Neurospora crassa OR74A: one gene and its partner. Each later gene encodes a partner of the first gene's protein in a complex. Links are inferred from orthologs where the notes say so. Each region holds a gene or a part of one and is shown on either strand. Other genes may lie near its edges.

What was found.
Region 2: the proteins of NCU00493 (region 1) and NCU07734 are in contact, whole or in part, in a crystal structure (PDB 5FJX), measured with the Saccharomyces cerevisiae proteins. The link is inferred for Neurospora crassa OR74A from reciprocal best matches to the Saccharomyces cerevisiae genes RET2 and GCS1. Residues at the interface, in NP_116709.3 of Saccharomyces cerevisiae: Lys348, Thr349, His350, Pro351, Asn352, Leu366, Lys371, Ala372, Phe373, Pro374, Ser379, Leu380, Gly381, Val382, Leu383, Arg384; in NP_010055.1 of Saccharomyces cerevisiae: Lys348, Trp349, Asp350, Phe352.

Annotation. Positions count from the first base shown.
Region 1 is NC_026503.1:4,042,404-4,054,979, reverse strand, and holds NCU00493 (coatomer subunit delta), read right to left. Parts: upstream 6,257-12,576; 5' UTR 5,977-6,256; coding exon 5,974-5,976; intron 5,918-5,973; coding exon 5,283-5,917; intron 5,228-5,282; coding exon 4,417-5,227; intron 4,355-4,416; coding exon 4,265-4,354; 3' UTR 3,905-4,264; downstream 1-3,904. Other genes in the region: NCU00494 (hypothetical protein), read right to left, coding at 684-1,048, 1,119-1,271, 1,324-1,381, 1,443-2,159, 2,212-2,806, 2,886-3,201, 3,262-3,472; NCU00492 (hypothetical protein), read left to right, coding at 7,305-9,312, 9,790-10,266, 10,321-10,343; NCU00491 (hypothetical protein), read right to left, coding at 12,362-12,576. UniProt on the Saccharomyces cerevisiae protein: The coatomer is a cytosolic protein complex that binds to dilysine motifs and reversibly associates with Golgi non-clathrin-coated vesicles, which further mediate biosynthetic protein transport from the ER, via the Golgi up to the trans Golgi network.
Region 2 is NC_026504.1:2,050,179-2,062,670, forward strand, and holds NCU07734 (zinc finger protein gcs1), read left to right. Parts: upstream 1-6,116; 5' UTR 6,117-6,502; coding exon 6,503-6,550; intron 6,551-6,697; coding exon 6,698-7,462; intron 7,463-7,584; coding exon 7,585-7,944; 3' UTR 7,945-8,342; downstream 8,343-12,492. Other genes in the region: NCU07735 (Grp1p), read left to right, coding at 3,548-3,777, 4,122-4,404, 4,461-4,679, 4,736-5,068; NCU07733 (electron transfer flavoprotein beta-subunit), read left to right, coding at 8,648-8,698, 8,872-9,508, 9,565-9,647; arg-2 (carbamoyl-phosphate synthase small subunit), read left to right, coding at 11,719-11,898, 11,955-12,492. UniProt on the Saccharomyces cerevisiae protein: GTPase-activating protein (GAP) for ARF1 and ARF2. Involved in intracellular vesicular transport. Required for transport from the trans-Golgi network.

The DNA of each region.
Region 1 (12,576 bases):
GCAGTGAACTGGAATCTGCTGATCCCCTGAATCGAAGCTTCCCACCGGCTGCCACGCATTCTTCCGTTCCGCGTATGGATCCGCCGACCTCCATGCCCTGGGCTGGGCTGGCTTTCAGGGCCGGTGGACTCTACCCTAACAATGAACCTAACGAAACCCCATTAGCCCTGTGGCTTGGCTTGCAGAACCCATGGAACTCCGCTATTTAGTGGACAAGGCACGCCCTGGCAGCGCACCCGACGCTAACGGAATGATTCTCATTTCAATGTCGGGCAGCCTGGCTCCGCTCATCGTTAACAACAACACACGGGAATGCGTGGGCGAAATCGGACACGAGACCGAAGATTCTTCGCGAGGATGAATCGACGGAAGTGAAAACGAGAATTTGGAGACTTTTGCAAATTGGCACTGACTGCACTACCAAAATGATCAAGTGAAAACACTTGGGAATCTTTGTTCGCAAGTACTAGACAGACCCGGTTTGATAACCGAGCAATACGGGACCTTATCCATGCCTCCCATTCATACAATGAAATTCCTCATTTGTAACAGCCTCCTCCTAATCATACATCACGAACGGGACTCATAAGTGCAATCCCCAGGTAATTGAGGGTCCCGCTTCCCGCAGTCGCCATGCCCCAATCGCATTACCGCACTTTCCGACCTTCCGCTCTATCGATGTTCTACTGGCTATTCTCCATCACCACATCTTCCTCCTCTCCTTGTTGCTGCCATGACTTCCTCGCCATCGGTGATACTTGAGTCCCGGAATCTGCCTCAAACTGGTCGGGAAGGGCATATGTCTTGTAGGCCGTTCTGTCGCGTCCTAGTAAACAGACCCTAGCAGGAAGCTCGCCCCTGGTTTTGCTCGCTTGTTGGACTTCCATCTGGATGGGCATAAAGCCAACCGCGTCAAAGAAAAGTGGAACATACGGCACTTCTGGACCTCCTATATCGATTGCTTGGGGCCTCTCTCCTACTTCGTATGCTGAGTAGGTTAGGTTGGGTGACTGATACCCGATCCTCACCAGTGCAGGGCTTTGCTCATCTGACATGGGAGTTAGCTTCATCTTCTCCGGTCTGGTTTTGTCTTTGCTAATAATTCCAAGTCGACTGACCTTTGAGTTGGCTTAGCACGAGCAAAGACTCGTCGTCCCAGAACTTGATATCAACCACGCTGGCCCCGTTGGGAAGGACCAGACTACATGCACTGCTAGAGGCTGTGCCGCTAACGCCGTTGGCGACCGGAATCGCGGTTCGTACAATGAAGACTACATCCAGTCTTAGCTAAATGCTCGACGATGCCATAAAAGGGAGACATACTCTTGTTCTTGTCACTTTCCGGTACTGTAGCAACAAATATAAGGACTCCAGACTCAGCCTGAAGTTTCGCGTTAGCAATCAAGTGCTCGGGGAGAAGTGAACTGCATAACATGACTTACCGCACTAGATCGAGAACACAGATGAATATCATGCCTCCATATCCTCTCGCCAGTAGATATCTCCACAGCCTCGTTGAAGCGCACGCTTCGTTTCTCTGCTTCAGCAATCTCCTTGAATACAATAGCCGACTTGCTAGTGAGATGGTCCACCAACTGATCGACTTGAGGTAACGCCTTGTAATAAGGCTCACCACGCTCCTGGTACTTCAGCTGCTGATCAACCAGTTCCAGAAGAGATGTGCCATCGCTCTTGTCAACAACTCTCCAGTCCTTCTCGCGCTCTTCCGCGGTAACATCACCAAGATACACAGCCAAGGGACTGCCCATCAAATATCGTTGGATATACGTCAAGACCTTGACGTTGTCCATAGTCGCCTCTTTCTCGGTCAACTCCTCAGCAGCTGCCAATGACGAAGCCAGTTTATCGATTTCCATTCGAAGCCATGACGAAAAGCAAGTGAAGTGGTCCAGCTCGTCCATGACCGCCAGTAGGATCTTGTACGAGACCAAGGTCAGCGCCGCGACCATGTCCAACAGCTTCTCGATCTGCGCGGCGTTAAAGCCGATGTTCTCACGCGAGCCGTGGAAACGAGCGAGGCCTAGGAGCCGGCTGAGCACGATGCCGCACCTCTCGAGCGCAGGCAAGAAGTTCTCATGGACGAGGCTTCTGAGATTTTGCAGGCCGCTTACAACTGCTTTATCCCAACGCTTGTGTCCCTAAATACTTGTCAGTCCTATGGCACTCTTCACATCTCCCTACTCAACTTACTCTCTCGGCTAGGCTGTCGACAAGCCACTCCTTCACCAGAGGAAACACATGTCCTGTTGCAACTGTGTGATACAATGCCTGGACTATGGTCACCGGCCCCTTGGGACTCCTCTCTAGGTCCTCTTGAACACCACGTAGAAAACGCCCAGGAAGCTCTCTTGTCGATTTCCACTCACTAACCATGTGTGACTGTGCCTGCTTCAGATACCGAAGGAGATTCTGAAGTGTTGTCGTGTTCGACGCCAACAAAGACAGGTTGATAGGCGATTTGTGTACAAAAGTGAGGTCCATCGGAACAAGAAAAAGGGATGTCGGACTACCCTCCTTGGGTCTTAGGAGGAGTGCGTGAGTAGGCACTTTATGATGGGAACTATGACCGCAAAGCTGGAAAGGACCCTCGTTTGAGGCGGGTCCTCTGGCCGTATGCGGTACATGTTGAAAGGTTCCAATGACAAATGAATCGTAGATGCTGAGATGAATGCCTCCGTCGGCTGTGCCGGTGATCATGACATGTACATTGTCCGAGTCCTCGGGCTGGTAAGGGCGGAACACGAACTCGAGTGATGCCGCGGTAGAGAAAACAAACATATCGTCCCTATAGCCATGTCAGTTACACCATCACTTTTTTAGGTTTGTCTCCCGGCACTGCAAGCTCATGGGTCCTGTACACATACCCGATGCCTCCCGACAAAGGAAGAGGACTAATTTTGGGGAGAGCAGTCTCGATTTCCAGAAAAGTCAACTCATGAGGGAGGTCCAGAACATGCTTCTTCTCATCGAGCATGAGATCCCGCCACGGCAAGTCGGGGAGGTCATTATGCTTCCTGGCACGCGACTTCCTACCAGTTTCGTTTTTGGCCCAGGCGATGAACTCAATCTTAGAAGGCTTTCCACCATGACCTGCCACGCGGATGTGATGCACGGCTTTGTTGCTTTCCAAGCCGATCAACCTCACCACGCCGTCACTCCAGCCGGCAGCTAAGAATTGGCCTGCGAATTCCCTGTAAGACAGTGGTTTCCCTCAACAGCCATCGGAAGATCTTCACTTACCATCCTCTTTCCACTTGATTGCATCAACCTTCTGGTTTCGTTCTGTATGCTTCGAGACCAACTGATTGCTGCCACGCCAGACATAGATCGTGTTACCGTCGCCGACCGTGGCTGTCAAGTCGATCACGGGATTGCATACGATTTGCTTGCCTGAGACTGGCACACTCAAGGCGCTTGAACTGAATAGCTGAAGCTGCCCATTTGGGGACATTTTGTAGGATCCGTTGGTGACTTTCAGTTGGATGATGTTATTTGGACGTGGAAAGCAGCGGCTAAGTGGTTCCAGCCTTCAACTCCGGGACGCAAGATTTTGATTTGAATGACACGCGCAAGTCCATAACTTGGCAAGTCGGTTTGTATGTTTGGGGGATTTCGGTTTTGGTTTGCTAGACCTACAGCTTCACTTGCCTCGGCGTGATGTTGTTGTTGTTGTTGCTGCTGTTCTGCGATTCAGTCGTGTGGTCTCGTCCTGCCTGTTGATTCAAAACACAGTGCAGATAGAGCAGTTGCCACAGTAATAGAAATACTGTGCAGGGGCATCCGTACTGTGTAGGTATGACCTTTACAAGCTTACCTAGCGAACTACACACATCGACATCAATTACCATACTCTGTGCTTACAACAGCGATGATTGAGTTGGATAGCTCTTTGCGTAGATAGGCTTCTTTCTATATGGTACTGGATCATGAGGGTATCCATCCCCTTAAAAATGCGTAGGGCTCGTAGCTTACATGTTACTTTCAAGGATCCCGGGAGCGTCAAAAACCTCTTGTTCAAAAAGTCAAGTATGACCTTGGGTATCAACGGAAGAAAAGGAATGACAGCTCGAGCACCCACTGGCGCGGACCATGTACAACAGTATTCATTATAAAGGGAGTTGGACAACTCGGTTGCTTCCCATACATTACTCTAATTCTGGTGTGGAAGATGATGATCGAGACGCCTGGCCGGCATGCTACGGTCGCCCTTTTTTGGTTCTGCTCAAAACAATGACAACAAACCCTACTCAATGAGGAACTTGTCGGCCACCGATCTGATGTCCTTGGAAAACGAAACCTCTTCACCTTCATCCACCAGCTCAACAGATTGAACCTAGAATGTGTCAGTTGTTCCGTCTTTACCCGTTTTTCTGACATGAGGGGGCGACATCTTACATCAACCTCCACGAACGGCCACGACTTGGAGAACCGTACTTGCATCGGGAAGAACTCGTTCTCGTCATCGGTCTGCGCCTCAAACTCGAATGATCCGCTGGCGTTCTCCTCGCTTACGGTGCCTATCGACCACTCTAGACTGTCACCAGACACCTCATACACAGCGTCGAAGCTAGACACCTGAGGCTCTGCGCTCGTGTAGGGGATGACGACAGTAACGTCCTTGAGGGTATCTCCGCCAGTGAGCTCGTACTCGACCGTCAATGTGCTGTTGCCATCCGAGCCCTTGTTGACCCAAACGGTGAAGCTGATTGGTAGTGCGCTGGTGTCGTCGACTCTGGGACTGGCCCGCCACCTTAGAACTCCGACAGAGTTGTTAAGGGGGAAACCCTTTGTGATTTGAGACAACTGGATAGCCTGGGAGCTATTGAAGACATTCTTATCGACGTTCGGGTGAGTGCGGAACTGGGCGCCGTGGGTGGGTGTGGCGCTGAGGTTGAGCTTGATCCTTGAAAGCGATGGGTCGGAGACGCGAAGCTGGAGGTCACCGCTGACCGAGAGGGATTCGAGGGCACCATCTCTCGACAGCTTGGCACTGATTGCCTCGTTGATAAGGACGTGAATAGCATCCCTGTCGAGTGTCGAAGAGACTCTGGAAGCAGCAGGCTCTGCGGCAGCTGCCGGCGCGGCTACCGGAACAAGGGGCGCTTCCTCGGCCTCGTGTCCAAGATCCCCCTTCACGCGCTCGAAAATATCCGTATTCTTGGACTTCTTGCCCAACTGCATACCTTTGCCCTTTGGCGCATTGAACCTAGAAGAATGTGAGCTTGCAGGCCAGCCTGAAAAGAAGAGGGACTAACACATACTTGACCTTGTTCTTCTCGGCTTCGTACGTATCATAGGACTCGGTGACAGCAGGTCGCACCGGCGGGGTGTATGTGGGATATACCGGCGTCCGGGGTACCGCGGACCGACCAGTTCTGGCCGACTCCTTGCGCTGCATCTCCAACTGCTTGGCTTTCCTCTTGCGCTCTTCGGTGGCCTCCAGCTCCTTGTTGCGGGCAATGATTTCCTGAATGCGCTCCTCGTGGCTTTCCATCTCGAGGAAGGTCTTGATCTGGCTGATGGTGAGGTTCTCCCGGTAACCGAGAGTCACCAGCTCATCGAAGGCGCTGAGCAGTTCGTAGGCATTTCGGAGGATTTCGCGCTCGTCAAGGCTCTTGCAGGTGCTGGTGACAACCTGGGCAAAAAGGTGGAGCGAGTCGATGTCCTGAAGGATGTTGGACTGCTTGTTGGTGATGAGGACCATGTACAGCTCGTCCAGGGGCTGGTAGACGAATCGGACATTGTCTTGCTCGACAATGGTGTGCTGAGTACCCGAGTCGGCGGCCTTGGGGAACGAGGCGAGGAGAGCTTCGATGCGGGAGCGCTTGATGTCGTTGAAGGCGCGGGCTAAGACGGCCTTGCCGCCGCGGGTGCAGATGGAGGCAGCGAGGACAACCTGACATGTTCCGTCAATCGCTTCTTCCCACCAGGAGACAGGGATGGATGAGTTACCATTTTGACAGCAGTAAACAACAACCACGACTACTGACTCGAAGGGCGCTTCGTGGTAGTGCAGGGAGCTTTGGGATGCGTTGGAGGTAAGTCGTGAGCTTCACCTCCTGAAAGTTGTCGTGGACGGGAAGGTTGATGTGGTCTTTCCGTTGCCGTGCTGAGGTGTGCTGTCGGTCAGGTCCAATTGAACTGAAGGTGCCATCTGGAGGGACCCAGCGGGCAGCGATAGGTAGAGGTACCTGGACGGCAGCTTCACTGCAGCGTCAGGGCAGTCGGGTTCAGGCGGGCCAGGGCAACCTACTGCGTACACGGTGGCAGCGTCCTGGCCGGCCGACGAGGGGCTGCCAGCTGGCAAAAGAAATCCAGGGGCACACCATAGATACAAGTACAGTAGGTAGGTACCTCTAGGCACCCACAGGGCCCGCTAAACTCCATGCGGCACTTGCTTAGGTTCAGTTTCCTTCCTATGATCAATTCTGCGAATTTCACCGTTGTCCACACACTGCGGCAAAACCAACAACTGCACCTCTTTCTTCAACACGCACAACAGACGGCCCCGTGTGTCGAAATTTCACGATTTCCATTTCCATCCAAACCATCGCCTACCTCGAAAAACCATCCGCCATCGAGAAACTTGTTTCTCAATCGCGTCAAAGCATTGCCCAGCCAATACGAGTCTCGATTACGGATCATCAAATACCTACGCTACCTTTGTGACACGCCTCGTCATCAAGAGCTTACTCGACTCCGTTGCACTTCACCCACCTCCCAGCTCCGCCGCTCCGTGAAAGTGAGGCATCCCGATTATCTGCCTGCCGCGTTTCAGCATTCCATACCTCGATTCGATGTGCACTTTTGCCCAGAACATCCGCCCCAGAACTCTTAACAGCGGTTAAATCGTGTTGTCGGATTCCGCCAGTCCACGTGTCGCCTCACATCCCTTCACCGTTTCATTTTGCGCCCCAGAAGCGCCGTTGTTTGTCGGGCGTTCTTTGTCGAGTGCGGGGTTGCCCATTCTCAGCCATAACTCCAGAACCCGTGGTCTCTATATGCCCTACGGCTTCGCTTCCAAGAAGAAGTCACAGCCTTTCAGTCCAAGACATCCACCGAAACCCATCGCCAAGCTTGGGGTTTTGACCAGTGCACCAATTTTCTACGTCTTCGCTTCTTTCATGACGCTTGCTGGACGTACAATTTCTTGACAACGGCAATACGTCGCACCTTCTTAGAAACTTCGTGGAAGTTTTGCGTCATTTTCCAAATTTTCGTTCTTGATCCAACTCACTCGTCTGTGGCGCGTGTTTTGATTGACCCGCCAACCGCCAATCATCATGGAGCAAGTTAGCTTCGACGTTCGTGCCGAGGCGGGGAAGGCGGTATTTGACGATGACTTGATGCTAGATGCCGGCATGCCAGCCGACGAGCTTGTCTTAGAACTCGACGACCTACATGACAAGGAAGATGAGTACCAGGCGATCGATCTTGATGCCCAACCCGCCACAGCGGATGTTGAATTTGCTGTCGATGACCTCGAGGCTCAGCATAATACCAACGATGAGCAAGCAGAGGCGGCAGGCGGCGTCGAGCAAGATGCTCAGGATGTCTCCATGGCATACAATGACGAGATAGGTTATGAAGAGGAGGAGGGCGTTGCAGAAGAGGCTGTTACTGAACACGAGCCCGAAGATACCACTATATCAAAAGCGCCGTCTGCAAATGACGAGAATCCAGATCTACGTGAATTGGAACAGGAAGCCCAGGACGTCCAGATTGATCTTGCTGAGTCCAAATTGGGCGACGATGCGGAAGAGCAGCCGATCGGGCGTGAGGCCGAGACAAAGAACCCTGTTGATCAGGAGGCTACTGAACAAGTTGCCGAGACCGATGTCGGTCTGGACGTCGGTGGTGTTGCAGCTACCAACCCTCTGGATACAGCTGTCTCGGGAGCTGAACAAGCGGGCGAGGCCGTGAGCGAGGATCGCCAGCTCGAGGAAAGCCAGATTGACCATGACGAGGCCATTGTTGATGATGCTGCATTCAGCATCACAGATATTACAGTCCAGTATGATGGTGGCAGTTATGCCCTCTTTGGGAACTCGGACATGGATCCTGAGACCTACTTTCTTACCGATACTGAGATCGCAACCGCACCGTTGTCGGAATTACTTGCATCTATCCGTTCTGTCATTGCCTCGGAGTTAACACCCGGAGAAGAACTGGTCATCGTTATTGACTCACTTGATTTGAACTTTGGCGAAAGGTCCAGTAAAGACTTTTTGCAGCGCAGCTTTCATCAGATCATTTACTGCTACAATGTCCTTCTAGCTAAAGGAATCGTCACAGAGACATCCCTAACGCTCAATCTTTTGGTCCGTCCGGACCCCGAGGGCCGGTTCCTGGACTTGCTCGAGGAGGCAGGCATCTGGAGCGGAGCAGACTACTCTCCCGATTACTCAGATGCCTCCGGGGAGGATGAATATCTGGATGACGATCAGGACATTGAAGATTATGATGACAATGACAACGAAGGCCTCGAAAATGATGGTGATCATGAGGATGGCCAGGATGCTGAATTTGATGACCAAGAGCATCGAGACGAGGAAGGCCAGCAAGATCAAGACCAAGAAGAGAAGGAAGATAACGAAGAGCCAGAGGTCATTGAGCTCACCGAGAATATCGAAGTTGCAGAGGATATCGAGGGTACTGAAGACGTCGAAGTCAGCGTGAATGTAGCCGAGGTTAGGGATGTTACCGTCTCGGCTGGAGACATCCAGAAGGAAGCATCAGAGGAACACACGGAACGTCAGGTCACCGAGGATGTCCTTGCGAATGAGTGTCATACTGAGCAATTCTCGCTAGCAGACAACATCGATCAAGCTGCCCAAGCAGAGCCATCTGCAGAGATTAACGGGTCAAGTCACTTTGATGCCAGTGGAACCTCTCATGGCCCGGCAGGCATCGTTGATGTCAAGCATGAGATGGACGGTGATCGGGGAGAATTTCAGCCCAGCCTTGAGGGGACGAGCAGTGATCTGGAGCTTGCTCCTGAAACGAAGTCTGCTACGGACGAACCTCAGCCGGAAAACGGTGATCATACCGAAATTATCAACGAGGAGAAAGAGGAGGAGGTTTATGATGAGGATGAGTACATCGAGCATCATGAAGAGGCCGAGGCCGAGGAGCAAGACGATCATGAAATTGATCGTACAGTGGGTGCGGAGGAGCTTGGTGATGACTTGACACTCAGACAGACGTTGGATGACGGCAACTTCTCGCTCGATATCACGGAGGGGTCTACTGAAGGTAACGCAGTGCTCGGCCGTGACGACAATCGAACTGGTAAATACCCTTTTCTTTTTTCCTCACCCACACACAACCCCAGCACACACGGCCACATGGTCGTTTTGCACACAGGCGAAGCCAAGGATGACGATCTCATTGACTACACGGATGACGAAGGCCCAAACTATGCCATGCCTGGTCTGAAACGGAAGTCCGTGTTCTCCGACCTAGTTTTCGGGGGAAAAGAAATGAGGTCCGAACAAACAGATGGGACAATGCCGCCGCTCCATAGCAAGCCCTCGGACAACGTATCCGGCGGAAGCCAACTTGCAGTTGAACTGCGACCCAACCAGCACTGCGGTCTTGCAACGCTATCTCCTTTCCGCTCCGACTCACCTTGCATCAAGAACTCCAACAGCCCCGTCAACTTCTCTGCACCCCACCGAAGCAGTGGCAGTCGTTTTCATTCTCACAAAGACTCCGATTTAATCGTCACCTTCTCTACCTACAATGTTGCTGACATGCCCTATCAAGGAAACAACGAAAATAGTACTTCGCGCAATCCCGACTCCACCGCCATGCAGGAGCAGTACACTGACGACGGCCCTAACGCGGACGAATATACTGAGGTAGAAAACGCGATCGACATCGAGTACACCCATGAGACATCGCATCTCACAGTCAACACCGCCGACCCCAAGGACCAGACCGAAGAAGGTGCTCAGGAGTTTACAACCGAAGAATCGGCCAACCGCACGAGCACAACCAATACCATGAGCGGCGACGAGATTGACTACGAAGAGAACGAGGAACAGGATGTATCGTTCGAAACAGAAGGTCAAATCCATGAGTTCAGCAACGCTCAAGATGACGACGAAATCGGATGGGGAGATGATGGAGAGGAGGACAACAATGATTTTACACAGCAGACTACAACTTCTCAAGAACAACCGCCCCTCACAGCAAAGAGAGGTCGGACTGATGACCTGGATGAGGAAGCCGAAGAGGCCGGTAAGTTCAACGAAGAATCCGCACGGGAAAACATCTTGCTAATCAGGACTATAGATGTCAAGCGTCGTCGGACCTAATCGGCCAAACTCTGGCCTCGAATATAGCATCACCCCAACATCTCCCTGCCCCTACGTTCAGTCTTCCCAGCCCCATTTTCCCCTTCTCCTCCCCTTCCTCTCTAACCGCTGTGGATCAGTCTTGTATTTTGTGAGTTGCTCTTGATGTTCTTGGTTGTTCCTGTTCGAAGAACCGACCATGAATGTGCGCTGAGAGAAGCTTTAAGCTTCAAGAATGGTAAGGTAAGTTGCAACGGATCGGCCGTACTCGATGGGGCAAGTCGTGTCCCCATACTTCATTACTCTTCACCCGATCGGCAATACTTAACACCAGGATTCGCGACAACGACCTCGAGAGCGCAGCCCACCTTCAGCCTGCATACAGCGGGCATTAACAGTCGAAAATTATGGGACGGCCTGGGGGACATGTCGCCCGAAGAAGCGCACTTTTGCTGAACAAACCAAAGTACATGGGGTATCTCAGGGATTGCTGGTTATCTTTGCAATCTTAAACTGCATACTTGGGGCTTTTCTCTCCGAGGTCCTTTAGCATATTTTATGGTGTATACTTCCGTCTGTACTATAGTCTTTGTTGGCGTTTGGTAGAACGGTGGTGGGACACGGCTAGACTATCTTTAGGAGCCCTCGAGGCTTCAGAGGTGCATTTGAATTTGGTGGATATATCCGGGTAACATGTGGTCATAGCAGTCCAGACTATGCAACATGTGGTTGGAGCGGGGTTTTTAACGAGGTATGTAGAGCTTTTCTGTTTGAGGTGGCGCATTCGGTTTGGGATGGGTGGATACGGGTTCTGCAAAACCAAAATAGGCGTTGAGAAAAGATAGCGAAGGCGAACCACGTAAGGAAAATCGGATACTTGCTTGTAGTTGGGGGTCAGTTATCAGTTTAGATGGGGATGTGGATGAACATTGAGTCTTCTAATATCCCAATGGCAGAGAGTGATCAAAGCCAAAATGCTAGATGAACCTGGACACAAGGCCGTGACTGTCGATCTGGCCACGTTGTGGTGGAAGTAGGAAGCCTCAAACACACGCAGCTCTCAGTGAGAGGACTCCACAGCATTCGTAATGGTTTGCTTCGCCACAACCGGACCTCAATTGTAAATTATTTTGCATTTCCTGGCAACATAAGCTTCGAAGATGCGTATTGCATGCTTTGCCAGGTTAATACGTAGCAGTTGATGACAACCAATACCAAAAACAAAATTACCCTTTCTTCGCATATTGACATCGGTGGTTGATTGAGAAACCCCTTTCCAGGAGACCGCGAGGACGACGGGACGGAATCTTATCAAATCGCTTCTCCCCGTAACGGATCGAGGTTTAACTTCACACTAGTGTGAACCCATTGCTTCTGTTATGGCGATCAGTTACCGACTATGTGTAGGTTATGCGACTAGCCATTTTGTTCGACTGCAGGTAATTGCTGTGACACGCACGGTGATGTGATCGATGGAGGCTTCCCGCGGCCTGCGTCGGGCCCCGTCGGCGTGGGTTTTTGAGAGAAGCGGATAACAATGGAGACGCGGGACGGAGGGCAGCGGAGGAAGAGTGTGTTTCGATGAATGCACATGTTCCGGCGCTTCCAGAGTCACGTTTCAACTTGGGCCGCTTATAAAGCTCAGGTCATCTGGATTTTGTTTCTTTCGTAGGTATGCGGATGGAACATCCAGAGCGTTTACTGGAGAAGTACATCATCGGCATCTCAGTGCGTAGGTACCATACCACAGGGGTTTTGAAGCATCGGAGATAGAATTTAAAAAAAAAAAAAAAAAAAAAAAAAAAAAAAAAAAAGTGCCCCTATCTCATACACACATACCAGCATGTTTAGACTCTCCAACTATACCTCGAGGTATGCCAGGCACAGGGAATGAAGTCACCAAGACTAAAATAAAAGTGCGGGGCAATGACCCTTTCGGGCCTACAACAACCAAATTTGGAAAGGTCAATGGAAGGTCAGACACACTCGCAGCGAATCCACCCTGATGTCGAGGAACAAGGGAAGGAATGCTCCCGAGCTTAACACCAACGCAGTTCAACTTCGTTCCATCCCTTGAGTCGAGTACCAGAATAGGGTCCACCTGCTGGAGGACAAATAAAGGAAGGCGCCGGACGGGCAGCACGGACGAGGCTACGAAAATATCCTTCTACATTCGAACTGCAGGTCGCGCTGCGCATGGGAAATCCCAAGTGACTGTGATGGCCGAGGCTGACCAGCGTGTTCGTCTGATACA
Region 2 (12,492 bases), on another chromosome or scaffold:
AAAAGTCTTAATTAATAAGTAAAAGCTTAGCATTAGGGTACTTTATAATAACGTCCCTCTATTCCTAATTAAGACGGTTTAAGGGAATAATTTGTAAAATAATTTTATTTAGTAAAATTATTAATATTATTTGAAGTATAATACTCTTATTAAAATTAATTACTACTATAAAAATAGTATTACTAGAACGGTATATAATACGACGGATATATTTAACCTATTCTAAACGAGGTTTATGGCGGTTAGAATTTATAATTAATTGAAAGATTGGATTAAGTAGAAGTTGGACGATAGTATATATAAAACGAATTTAAAATCTAAAATATTTTATTAGGTATATATATTTAACAATAATAGCGATATATTCGTACGATGTTAATCCGGGAGAGGGCGAAATAGCGAAGTTGGAATAAGTTTTAAAGTATTGAATAAACCCTAAAATTTCGTTGAAGGTAGAATTAAACTAGGCTATATTTAATATTAAATTTTAGATTAATATAATAAAGAATAAATAAAATATAATACTTATTTCTTAGGATGGTAATTATAGCGTTTAACGAAGGAACGCCTTAGACTTTGTTTAATAATGAATATTAATTATAGTAAAAAAAAAAAAGTTGCGAAATTAAAGGTAGGATTGATATTAAACTCAATAATTAAATTAGGTTTAGGTATTGGTTGTAGTTATAGAGATATCTGCGAGTGATATGCTTGAGTAGAGTTTTGTTTGTATGGGAATAATAGCGTTTGACGGCCAAAATGCTCAAAATTGACACAGACCTCCTCTCACAAAGTTCGAGGAGACCCACATTTTATGTGGGGCGGGGGAACGGAGGCAGATGGGGTCTGTTCAGAGACTACCCCGCCCTATCCACGCGTTTTGGAACGCCCAGTTAACGTAACATTTATACACTCATTAGTTTCCCCGATACATAGGCGGTGAACCGTTAAGTTCCTTTCCATTTCTTCTCATCTCCTATTTGCCTGCATAGTAGTTTAGGGGTCCTGGCTTTTGCAAGCGTATGCCTAAAGACAGCCTGGGGATGACTTGAAGCCTCCGCACCCAAGCAGCCATACACTACAACGCATGAATAAACCCTGGACAAGTAGACCTGTGCGAGCAAGGGGAAATACCAGCATAACCCGACACCTTGGGTTGGTACTGTGTGTAGTATGTCTTGTCGGTATTTGGCCAAAACCACCCCCCTTTTTTGCCTGTTCACGGAGACCCCTCGGCCCCCTCTAGCAGTATGTGGAGGATCGTGATGATGTTTTTTGGGGCACGGCTCCAACCCGTTTTTGACGGTGGAGCACGAAGCATCCGCTAGGAACCTGGAAGCGTCTAGAAAGCGGATGCCCACATCCACGTCATTCCGCAACCAAATGGGAGCCACTTTCGACGCCGAAGCGTGTCATAATCCGGGCGAGCCACAAAAGGACGTTTCAAACCTCACCGTCGTCAGAATCCAAGTGTGGACTGGATCACAGATATCGCCCTTACTCCTATCTCAAGGAGCCAATGAGGAAGCATGCGCAAACGTTCTTTGTGCGGCTGAGTGTCTCCCGTCTGTCTCGCCGAACGACAGCTGCTTCGATCCCTGAAAGGCAAGAAGCTTAGGTGGAGTTGAAAGTTGATAGGACTCCAGTGGAAATCGACACAGTGTCGCACACGGTAGGACGGGACGAGAGTACTTATTCACGCTCCATAAGTATGCATCACCGCCAGCAACCAACTTGACAATGCGAAAGAGCTGAGTAATCATCGAATTTTGCTCACATTCTGACCATGGCTTTTGAAGAAAGTGAAAAGATACAGTACGTTTTGCAGCCGACCGGGAACTGTAGCCCGATATGTCACTACGATATAGTCGACCTCTGTTACCGTTCGTGGAGTCAGTGTCACTTGCTTCTTTTGTTTTGAAAACAAGAGTAAGGCCATCTCATAGCCTCGCCCGGGTGGAGTATATGTCAGTTCCTTTCTGTATCGATAGTATAGACATACATTTCGATCTGGAGCGATAGTCGGTTGCGTTCCCAAACGCTCACCTGATTCCATCTTCAACGTACGATCGAGATTGAATCACTTCGTTCTTCTACAGAACTTGAAAGGACATATGTAAAGATCGTAGGTGAGCAAGGCTATTGGTGAATGGCGCAGGTCACTTAAGATGGAAAGCCATCTTCTCTTTCCTTAGCAGCGATCCACCGCAGACAGCGTTGTTATTGTAACATGCCCAATATCAGAAACGTGTGAAGGGAAAGAACGAGCAGTTGCTCAGCTATAAAAGAAAGCAGCAATAGGTAGTTCCACAACTCACTTGTTCGTTCTTTCACTTCTTTGACAATTGAGAGCCTTCGCAACAACCCGGTAGCCTTCCCCGGAAAGATCGACTCGGAACGCGCTCGAAGACTCCGAATCTGTCGGGCCAAGACACAACTTGAAAATCTCCGTGGAAGACACGACGTTGTACCTGTCTTTCTGACTAGAATACCTAGCGAGGTAAGTTCAAGTCGATAGACTATCACCAACCTTACAACCGCTCCCATGATGCACATCGATGCTGGCCTCATCGCATTGACTGCGCCGCACTGTGCTTCCCTGTTGCTTGAGCTTCTCCACGCTCCTTTCCCCTTCGGTGGATCCCAAATGGCAGGACAAGCGGACAGACCTTGGCGTTTGCGACGATGATGGCGTATCCCTGAGCCGTTGCCACTTGCGAATGTTCAGTGGTTGATGTCCGCGCCTCCCCTCATTTCAGCGGGCAGCGCTTGACGCTCGCTTGCTAAGGTGCGGTTCAGGCGGTTGCAACTGTGTCCGATTCGGCCCTCTGTTCAGTGAAGGTGCGTTCGGAGGGGTCGTATATAAGAGGTACCGAGGGGTGGTATAAAACACAGGCCCGAGCGGACGGACTGAGCCTGGAGGCCCAAAGTTTGGCTTCCAAGTTGTTGAAAGACCCGGACCCCCGCCTGGGGGCACTGCGCTGGGCGGGCTGCTTGCACCTGCCCACACGGCACTGGCCAGGCTGGGTGGTAGGTACATGCTGCCTACCCCAGTTGGCACTCGTCCGTTGTCCACCTCGGCGATTGGGAAGCGTAAGAGTGACAACTGGAAGCTGGAACTCGCCTTGCCTCCAGGTGGAGGGTAGGTACTATGGGGACGTACCGGATGTACCCTGGGCCAAAGCCGCCACGCCTGCCTTTCGTTTAATTCCCCGAACGGTAGCAAAAAATATTTGAAATTTGGAGCGCGCCGACTCACCAACACCTGATCCTTTCCTTTTTCTTCCTCTCTTCTTCCCGTCAACCATTCAAGCAATCTGAAGTCCGCTCAAACCACCTTCAACCAACCCCCCCCTCAAGCTATCTAGGGCACCAAGCTACCCTTCTGACTCCCCCTCAGACCCAGAGTTCAACCTTTCTCGTCCGTGAACGTCCTTACAACACCCCAGGCGCTCATCTCCCTATCCAAACGAGTCCAACGCTCACGTCACCTCCTGTGGATCACCTACTCCAACCAAGTCAACTTTCGACATCACAATCAATCACCATGTCTGCTGTCGTGGAGAAAATCACTGACGCTGCTGCCGCCGCCGTCAACGACGTTACCAACGCTCTGGCCAACACCTCTCTGACTGGCAACAAGTCCGCTGACGAGAAGCCCGCCGCCAACGATGCTGTCCTTGCCAGCGCTGCCGAAGGTCGCCGCCTCTACATCGGCAACCTTGCCTATGCGACAACGGAGGGGGAGTTGAAAGAATTCTTCAAGGGCTACCTTGTGTAAGTTTGGCTCGTCCCGCCTACCCTTTTTCCCTTTGTCGTTGTCTGCCCTTGTCCTCTCACCGCCTTTGCATTGTTTCCCTGCATCCCGCTTCCCCGCCTTGTTTGGATTGTATTTACGCGGCTGGAAGCAGTTGCCCGCCACAAACCTCACATTCCCCTTCCCGTTTCCATCATGTTGCCTTGTTTAGGCCCTTTGGCCCTTTGACGTCACGTCATCCACCTCGCTCCTCTGGCTGTGAGAGTGGGCCGCTTGCAGGGCCGTAGGGTGGGGTTGACATCCGGGTTTCTTGGTCCCGTGTTACGTGTGCTCGTCCGTTACTAACCAGTTTCGTTGCGCGCAGTGAGTCTGTTTCCATTCCCAAGAACCCTCGCACCGACCGCCCTGTCGGCTACGCCTTCGTCGACCTCTCTACCCCTAGCGAGGCTGAGCGTGCCATCGCTGAGCTCTCCGGCAAGGAGATCCTCGAGCGCAAGGTCTCCGTCCAGCTCGCTCGCAAGCCCGAGTCTAACGAGAAGGCCGAGGGTGCCAACGGTGAGGGCCATGAGGGCACTCGCCGCCGCCAGTCCACTCGTGGCCGCGGTCGCGCCGGTCGTGGCCGTGGCGGACGCGCTCGTGGCGATCGTGTAAGTTCCATTACATCATCTGTGAAGTGGACAGAGAAACTGACATCCCGACCTAGGGCGAGAAGAAGGAGGAGGGTGCCGAGGGCTCCACTTCCCCTGCTACCGAGGCTCTGAAGGACATCACCAACGAGACTCACAACAGCGACAACAAGGCCGGCAAGCCCCACAACCGCTCTCCCCGTGAGCGCCGCGAGCGCGGCCCCCCGGCTGACGGTATTCCTTCCAAGACCAAGGTCATGGTCGCCAACCTTCCCTACGACCTGACCGAGGAGAAGGTGAGTTTTTGTGCCGACCTATGCCATGACTGGAGACATGCTAACTCTTTCCACAGCTTAAGGAACTTTTCGCTGCTTACCAGCCTTCCTCCGCGAAGATTGCTCTTCGCCCCATCCCTCGCTTCATGATTAAGAAGCTTCAGGCCCGGGGTGAGCCCCGCAAGGGCCGTGGCTTCGGCTTCGTTACCCTCGCCTCGGAGGAGCTCCAGCAGAAGGCTGTCGCTGAGATGAACGGCAAGGAGATCGAGGGCCGCGAGATCGCTGTCAAGGTCGCCATCGATAGCCCCGACAAGACCGACGAGGAGGCCAACGAACCCGAGGGCGAGGCCCAGGCCCCCACCAACGGCACTACCGAGCAGGCTGGCGCTGCTGTCACTGCCTCTGCTTAAACACTCCATTTGATGACGAGATGAGTGTGCGCACAAGTTAATAAAGATTTCGGTCACAGACACTACTTTAATCTCGACCGACACATGTCTTATGTTTTACTGGGCGCATGCATTTTTACCCTCACGATTTTGGCACGGAACGAATGATTTTCTTTTTATGGCGGGATCTGCAAGTGGGTATGAAAGCGGGAAGATTGGGCGGTGGGATAATGTGATCATGTCTGGCGTCACGGGTTATGGGGGTTTGCAAAGGCCTCAAATCGCTGGTAGACTTCAGGCATCGTTATCCTGCGGCTCTTTGCAGGCAACAAAAATCTAATATTTTTCATGACTTGTCTTCTTCATTTATGTGTTATGGATCATCTTTTATCTCAGGGTCGCTTACATTCATCTAGTGTTTTCAAACTCTCATGTTTGCAGGAGATGGTCAGTCAAATCGGTCTAGGAATAGGAAAATAAGCATGATCGGGCCAAGAAGTCATTGATATGTCATGTTTAATTAATAGGAACGCCAACGGGTAAAGTGGTTTGTGATAGATACGTGTCCAGTCATCCTCAACATGGGAATCACCTAATTGTGAGGCGTAGAAGTAGTGTTGGAGGGAACTAATGGATCCACTGCCCGTGCCTTGCGTGCCTTGATGGGTGGTTGTGACAAAGTTGGGGACGGACAGTTGCAGATGTTCCTGCAGGCCAGAGAGGGGCAGCTCCCCGTTAACAAGCGGTCCCCTGAAACGCCCCTGATCTTTATTCGCAGTGCGTGACGAATGATGAGAAAAGGCCAGGTCTGGACCTTTGCATAAAACATGGTACCTACCTAGGTAGATATGAATGGTCGACATAACGGAAGGTAGGATCCTGAAGGTTGGATGGACGGACGAGCTGGCTTGTGTACACGCACCATGCACTGTGGCCTCGATGAATACTCTTATGGCTTGTGAATTTCAATTCGGTTAGGTTGTTGCTTGAATCACGTAACTGATCATATCTTAGCAAATCTAAAATGCAGTCCCAAACTCAAGTTGTAGTAATTCGTCGGGTAGATGGAACGTGACCTAATGATCAGCATGCCTCGATCTTCCAACACTTCGGGTCGGGTTTCCGTCCTGGCTGGTCGCTCCAGTGCCACTAAAACGAAGGAAGGTAGCCGTCCGAGGTAAACCAACTGCTGAAGCGTAGGGCAGGGGGTGCCTGCAATAGCGCGGGCGACTTCATCATTCAAGTCGCCAATTGTCTGTCTGACTGATTGTCCACCAGACAACCCCTACTGTAATCCGAAACATCACGCGACGCAACATAGCGCAAGGAATCCAAAGACGGCGAACTTCTTCTTCCAATTTGCTTCGACGAGACTCTGCTCTCAAGTAGGCCGTCCCAGCGAGGAATCACGTAACCGGTCGGTTCGCGCACAATTGCACGTACAAGTTGCCCACCATGGCTACCAAAGGGATGTGGGAGATAGACCCGGAGACGAAGTCCAAGGTATGTGACCGACCAACCCGCCCAAGGCGTCCAACCCGTTCAATCGCTGTCTTTGTGAGATTAGCTGCACGATCCAGAGGGGGAAAAGCGATGTGGCGGCGCAAAGGGCCAACTGGAACCTTCCAAGCTGACTTGTGACCCTTGTAGCTCGCTGCGATGCAGAAGGAGAACAACAACAACATCTGCTGCGACTGCGGTGCCCCAAGCCCGCAATGGTGTTCACCAAAGTTCGGCATCTTTATCTGCCTCTCGTGTGCGGGCGTTCATCGCGGCCTGGGCGTGCACATCTCCTTCGTGCGCTCGGTTTCCATGGACGCCTTCAAGCAGGCCGAAATTGAGCGCATGCGGCTCGGCGGCAATGACACCTGGCGCACCTTTTTCGAGAACCATTCCGACACCAAGTTGCGCGGAATCAGCTGGGACGATGCGACGATTGCGGAGCGGTACAGCGGCGATGTTGGCGAAGAATACAAGGAGAGGCTGAGTGCCAAGGTTGAGGGGAGGGAGTACGTGCCTGGGGAGAAGAAGCCACTGGCCCAGCAGCAGGAAACAAGTCAGAGTCCAAGCAGCGTGGCTGGTGGGGTGCCATTGAGCGGCACGAGCAGTAGGACGGCCAGCCCTAAGCCGGGAACGACGATCAAGGTGGACGACAAGTACTTTGCTAAACTGGGTGCTGCCAACGCCAGCAGACCGGACAATCTGCCGCCTAGCCAGGGAGGAAAGTATCAGGGCTTTGGGAACACAGTGTCGTCGCAGCCAAAGAATGATGGCGGCGCAAGCTTGCCGGGTCTCGATGAGTTGCAAAAGGATCCCGTGGCGGCGCTGAGTAAAGGGTTCGGATGGTTTACCAAGACAGTGACCCAGACGGCGAAGACGGTTAATGAGGGTTATATCCAGCCTACAGCTAAGCAGGTATGTATCCTTGGTCTCCGCTCAACAAACCATCCCTCTGTCGGACATTGGCCCAGGACACATCTACTTGGATCACTTCGAGATACATGTTTGCTAATTTGGACTTCTTCCGCCCAATATAGATAGCCGAATCAGAGCTCGCTGCAAAAGCCCGTGTTGCGGCAGCGCAAGCCGCCGTTTCAGCACAGACTGTAGCACAGGCTGGCGCCAAAACCGCGACAGAGAGTTTCAACCGGTTTGTCGAGGGAGGACCTTCCAACTCCGCTGGTGGTGGCTATAGGTCAGTTCCCTCTGGCGGTGGTGGCAGCAACTTTGACGAGAGCAAGAGGTCGTTTTGGGATGACTTCTCTAGCGCGGCCGACCAGAGAAAGCCAGCCGGTAGCTCAATCGGGACAGCAGTTATGGGCAAGGGTGGAAGCAGCGGTAGCTCCACTGCTCCTCCCCCAGCAGCTTCCAAGAAGGACGAGTGGGATGACTGGTAGATGGCTTGTTGACCCGTAGCGTCATTGGATGAATAGTGAGGTGGAATAGTGGTAATGGAATCATTTACAGCCTATGATTTTTGTCTTTTACTGTATTGTCATTTGGGCTGATCAAGGAGGTCAACGGTGTTGTGTTCAAGGTGAGACCGACTTGGGGTGTTGAGATGCAATGGTCAGGGTCAGGGTAGGGTAGGTAAACTAATCGATATTTTCGAATCGACTCCGGCGTCGGAGGATCCAGTGTACGGCGAGGTCCCGTCGCTGAGACCAGAGAGGTGTCTACAGAAATTGGTGAGGTCAAGTGATGGCTCATTGCTCTAAGCAGTATTAGACTTGATAACGATTTCTTATTTTCGTCGAGTCACTGAACCAAGAATAAGACCAAGTGCATTGGCAGTAAGCTGACAAGGTTATCATTCACATGTTGACATCGTCCTTTTGGAATGATCAAAAGAGTGACAATGCCGGGGTTGGGGTTAGGGTTAGTGTATGACCGCGGTTGGGTCGGTTCCAGCCGGCGGGACCAGCTGCATGGACACGGCCCGCGGTTCGTCATCATGGGTGTGCGTGCCGTCGGCTTTGACGTCCCCATTCTCACGTACCCCGTTCCCCATTCCTCCTACTGATGTGATTGCGACCAGAGCTCAAGCCATTGAGTCCACCCGCTCTCATCCCACCCTTTTTCCCCAGATACCACAAAACAATGTCAGCCCTACGGATATTGGTGCCCGTCAAGCGGGTTATTGACTATGCGGTATGTCTTCCATCCTTTTTGACCACCTAGTCAAGGGCAACAACATAACGGGTGTTCACGCACCATACAACAGTTCTGATATGGAGTCCCTGCTGCACATTTACATGGTATGCTGTTATTATACCTACCCGAGTACAGATGACTGATGTGGATACTCTTCCCAATCAATACAGGTCAAGCCGCGAGTCAACAAGGCCCAGACGGGAGTCGAGACGGCCGGTGTCAAGCACAGCATGAACCCCTTCGACGAGCTATCGGTCGAAGAGAGCGTGCGCATCCGCGAGGGGAAGAAGACCCCCGTCGAGGACATTTGCGTCATCAGCGCCGGGCCAACCAAGGCCCAGGACGTCCTGCGCACCGCCATGGCCATGGGCGCCGACCGGGCCATCCACGTCGAGACCAAGGAGGGCGAGGACCTCGAGCCGCTGGGCGTCGCCAAGCTGCTCAAGGCCGCCACCGAACAGAACAAGAGCAACCTCGTGATCCTGGGCAAGCAGAGCATCGACGACGACGCCGGCCAGACGGGCCAAATGCTGGCCGGTCTGCTGGGCTGGGCGCAGGCCACCCAGGCGAGCAAGATCGAGTTCACCGGCGGCGATTCTGTGCAGGTGACGAGGGAGGTGGATGGCGGTGTTGAGACGCTCAAGGCCAAGCTGCCCATGGTCATCACGACCGACTTGCGCCTCAACGAGCCCCGGTACGCGAGCTTGCCCAACATTATGAAGGCCAAGAAGAAGCCGCTCGAGAAGAAGACGCTGGCGGATTACGGTATTACGGCCGAGAAGAGGCTCAAAACTATCAAGGTCACCGGTAAGGACTACAATTCGTTTTGGGCTGGATGGAAGTTTGCTAACTCTGTTGTTCAGAGCCTCCCCCGAGACAGGGTGGTGGCAAAGTGGAGGATGTGGATGGCTTGGTCTCGAAGCTCAAGGAGCTTGGTGCTCTTTAAACCGGTCATACACCAACCAGTTACTGAGTTCCAGGATCTTGTGTCGAAGACATCTGTTTTGGCATAGAAAAATTGAAATTCACGTCCCTACAGCTGTGTTGCGGATACGCAACCGGACATGCTCTTCTGATAGCCGGTAAGGGCGTCACAATGTCTCATGGGGACCGTGACGGCCCGGGGCCTGGAGCTTCAGTTTATTCATGCATGCTTCTACGACAAGCTGGCCGGTTGAGATGAAAGAGGCTTGAGCCGGCCACATTGGCACCAACTTCGTCGCAAGATGTGTCGCGTTAAGCGCAACAGTACGAAGAGCTATGTTTTGTGTCTTGTCCTGTCTTGCGGTTTTCAATGATGAAAACCTCGCCAGGTGTCCTGGTGGTCTCTGCTTTGATATTGCGTACTCGGTCGAGTAAGCTGAATCCGTCTGAAATGGTAATGCCCAACATCCAGATGCTACGCGATGTATCAAATGCAATGTGACGTGTGGGAGCCTGTTATCCCCCACGTATTGGTGCTCGGCTGCTGTAAGGTACCACTACCGCAAAAATGCTACTTACGTGGCTTGACAAGGTGGTGACGATGTCTCTCTTCAATTGGTGTGCTGTCGCCGAGAGTATATGCTGGATCCAGACGCTATATTTGATTGTTCCCTCTTCTGTCAGCGTGCGGCCTCCGTTGTCCGTGCAGCCGATTACGACGGCCGGCTCTGGCGCAACCTGGGTTTGGAGCTTCAGAAGCTTGAAAGCGAGGCGAATCGCGACTGTACAAGTCCCCGCAACTTGAGTCACCGAAAGCGCGGGGTATCCACCATCTTTATCTGCGGCGGTAGGTAGGCGGGGACTTTGCGGGGGCTTTGCGGGACCCGACCACTCCAACTCCGAGATTCGTTGGGGGTGCCCCGGGCAGGAGATGCCGAGCTGGAGTCGCGTTGTTTGTGAATGTCGTGGCTGGGGTTGTGGGCATAGGTTGCGATGTGTAGTGTACGTAGTACATAGTAGGTATGTTGAACACCGGATGGGTGATTCCAGTTGTGAGGCTCCGGGACTAGTAGGGGTGGTAACCGTGATGGTCAAAGGGCATGTGGAACTTGCAGCGTCCCAACGAAGTCCAGGTCCCCAGTCATCCCAACGCCGCGATCAATCACCCCTCGGTCCCCGTAAATCGGCCTTTGGGACTCGCTAGCAGCGGGAGTCACCGAGTCCTGGACCAATCAGGTCGGCGCTGACCCTGTCACTGCGGCAGAAAAAAGACAAAGAGCTCAAAAAATTCTACCAGATCCAATCAAATGTCGCCCTTTTTCTATTTGCCTCACCCACTTTCGCACCCTCTTTTATCTCCAAGTTTCTCCCCTCGACACTACAACTCACTCCGTCATCAACTCTTGCCCATCTACAAAACACACAATAACCCCAATCGCTTCCCCCGACTTTCGGACTCTTTCGTCCAACCTTCTTTCTTCAGCTGAACTTGTCTTGTCGCAATCTGCCCTTATGAACGGGCGCCCGTCAGTCTTCACCTCTCAGGTACGATAACGCGATAGCCCCTCCATCGTGCTGGTATCCAGCCACCATCCACCCAGTCCATCAAAGAAGTTCCCCCGGATGAGCAATGAAGCCCCCATACCAGCCTGACTCGCGATGCTGTATCGGAGTAGTTGGGACGACCCGCCAGTAACCCACCAACCTGGGTGCTTGGCATCATGCCGCTCTGAGTTGGTTTTGGGAGATGTGGCCAGCGGTGATCCCCAAAGTTCAGCTCTTCACGGATTCCGATTGCATATCTCTCAAGATCGCGCAGACAGCCATCCTGGGGGAGACTTCTTCTCCTCGCTTCTGCCGCTTGCCGTCTGTTTGTAGTGTCTGATCAAAACTAATTCTGTTGCCTTTGTAGGATTACCTCTCAGGTCCGCATCCCCGCCGACTCCCGTTGACTCACCCTTTTCCGGCTGGAATACTGACGATGAATTTTGTGTGTTACAGACCATCTGTGGAGAGCCCTTAACGCATAAGAGCCTCTCATCACCCAGCAGCCGTACCAATCACCACCGCACCCCATCACCATTCAAGTCAAGATGTTCTCTCGCTTGGCCGCTCGTCTCCCCAAGGCTTCTGCCCTCAATGGCGTCGCCGCCCGTCAGGTTCGCAACCTGAGCCAGCCCGCCATTACCGGCAGCAAGGGCAGGAACATGCCCGCCCGTGAGCCGCGCACTACTGCCGCTGCCACCGGCGCCGAGGCCACCTTCACTATCAGGGTGCGTACCTACAACTAGTCTTCTCTCGTGGCTAAACCTAACATTTTCTCGCTCAGGATGGCCCCGTTTTCCAGGGTACCGCCTTCGGTGCCAACACCAACATTTCTGGTGAAGCCGTTTTCACCACCTCCCTTGTTGGTTACCCCGAGTCGATGACCGATCCCTCGTACCGCGGCCAGATTTTGGTCTTCACCCAGCCCTTGATTGGCAACTACGGTGTCCCTTCGAATGAGCGTGACGAGTTCAACCTCCTCAAGTACTTCGAGTCTCCCCACATCCAGTGCGCCGGTATCGTTGTCTCCGATGTCGCTACCCAGTACAGCCACTGGACTGCTGTTCAGAGCTTGGGCGAGTGGTGCGCCAGCGAGGGCATTCCCGCCATCTCCGGTGTTGACACTCGTGCGATTGTCACCTACCTCCGTGAGCAGGGTTCCTCTCTCGCCAGGATCTCCATTGGCGACGAGTACGACGCCGATGAGGATGAGGGCTTCATTGACCCTGGCCAGATCAACCTTGTCAAGCGCGTGTCCACCAAGGCTCCCTTTGTGGTTACCAACCCCAACGCCAAGTTCCACGTCGCTCTGATCGACTGCG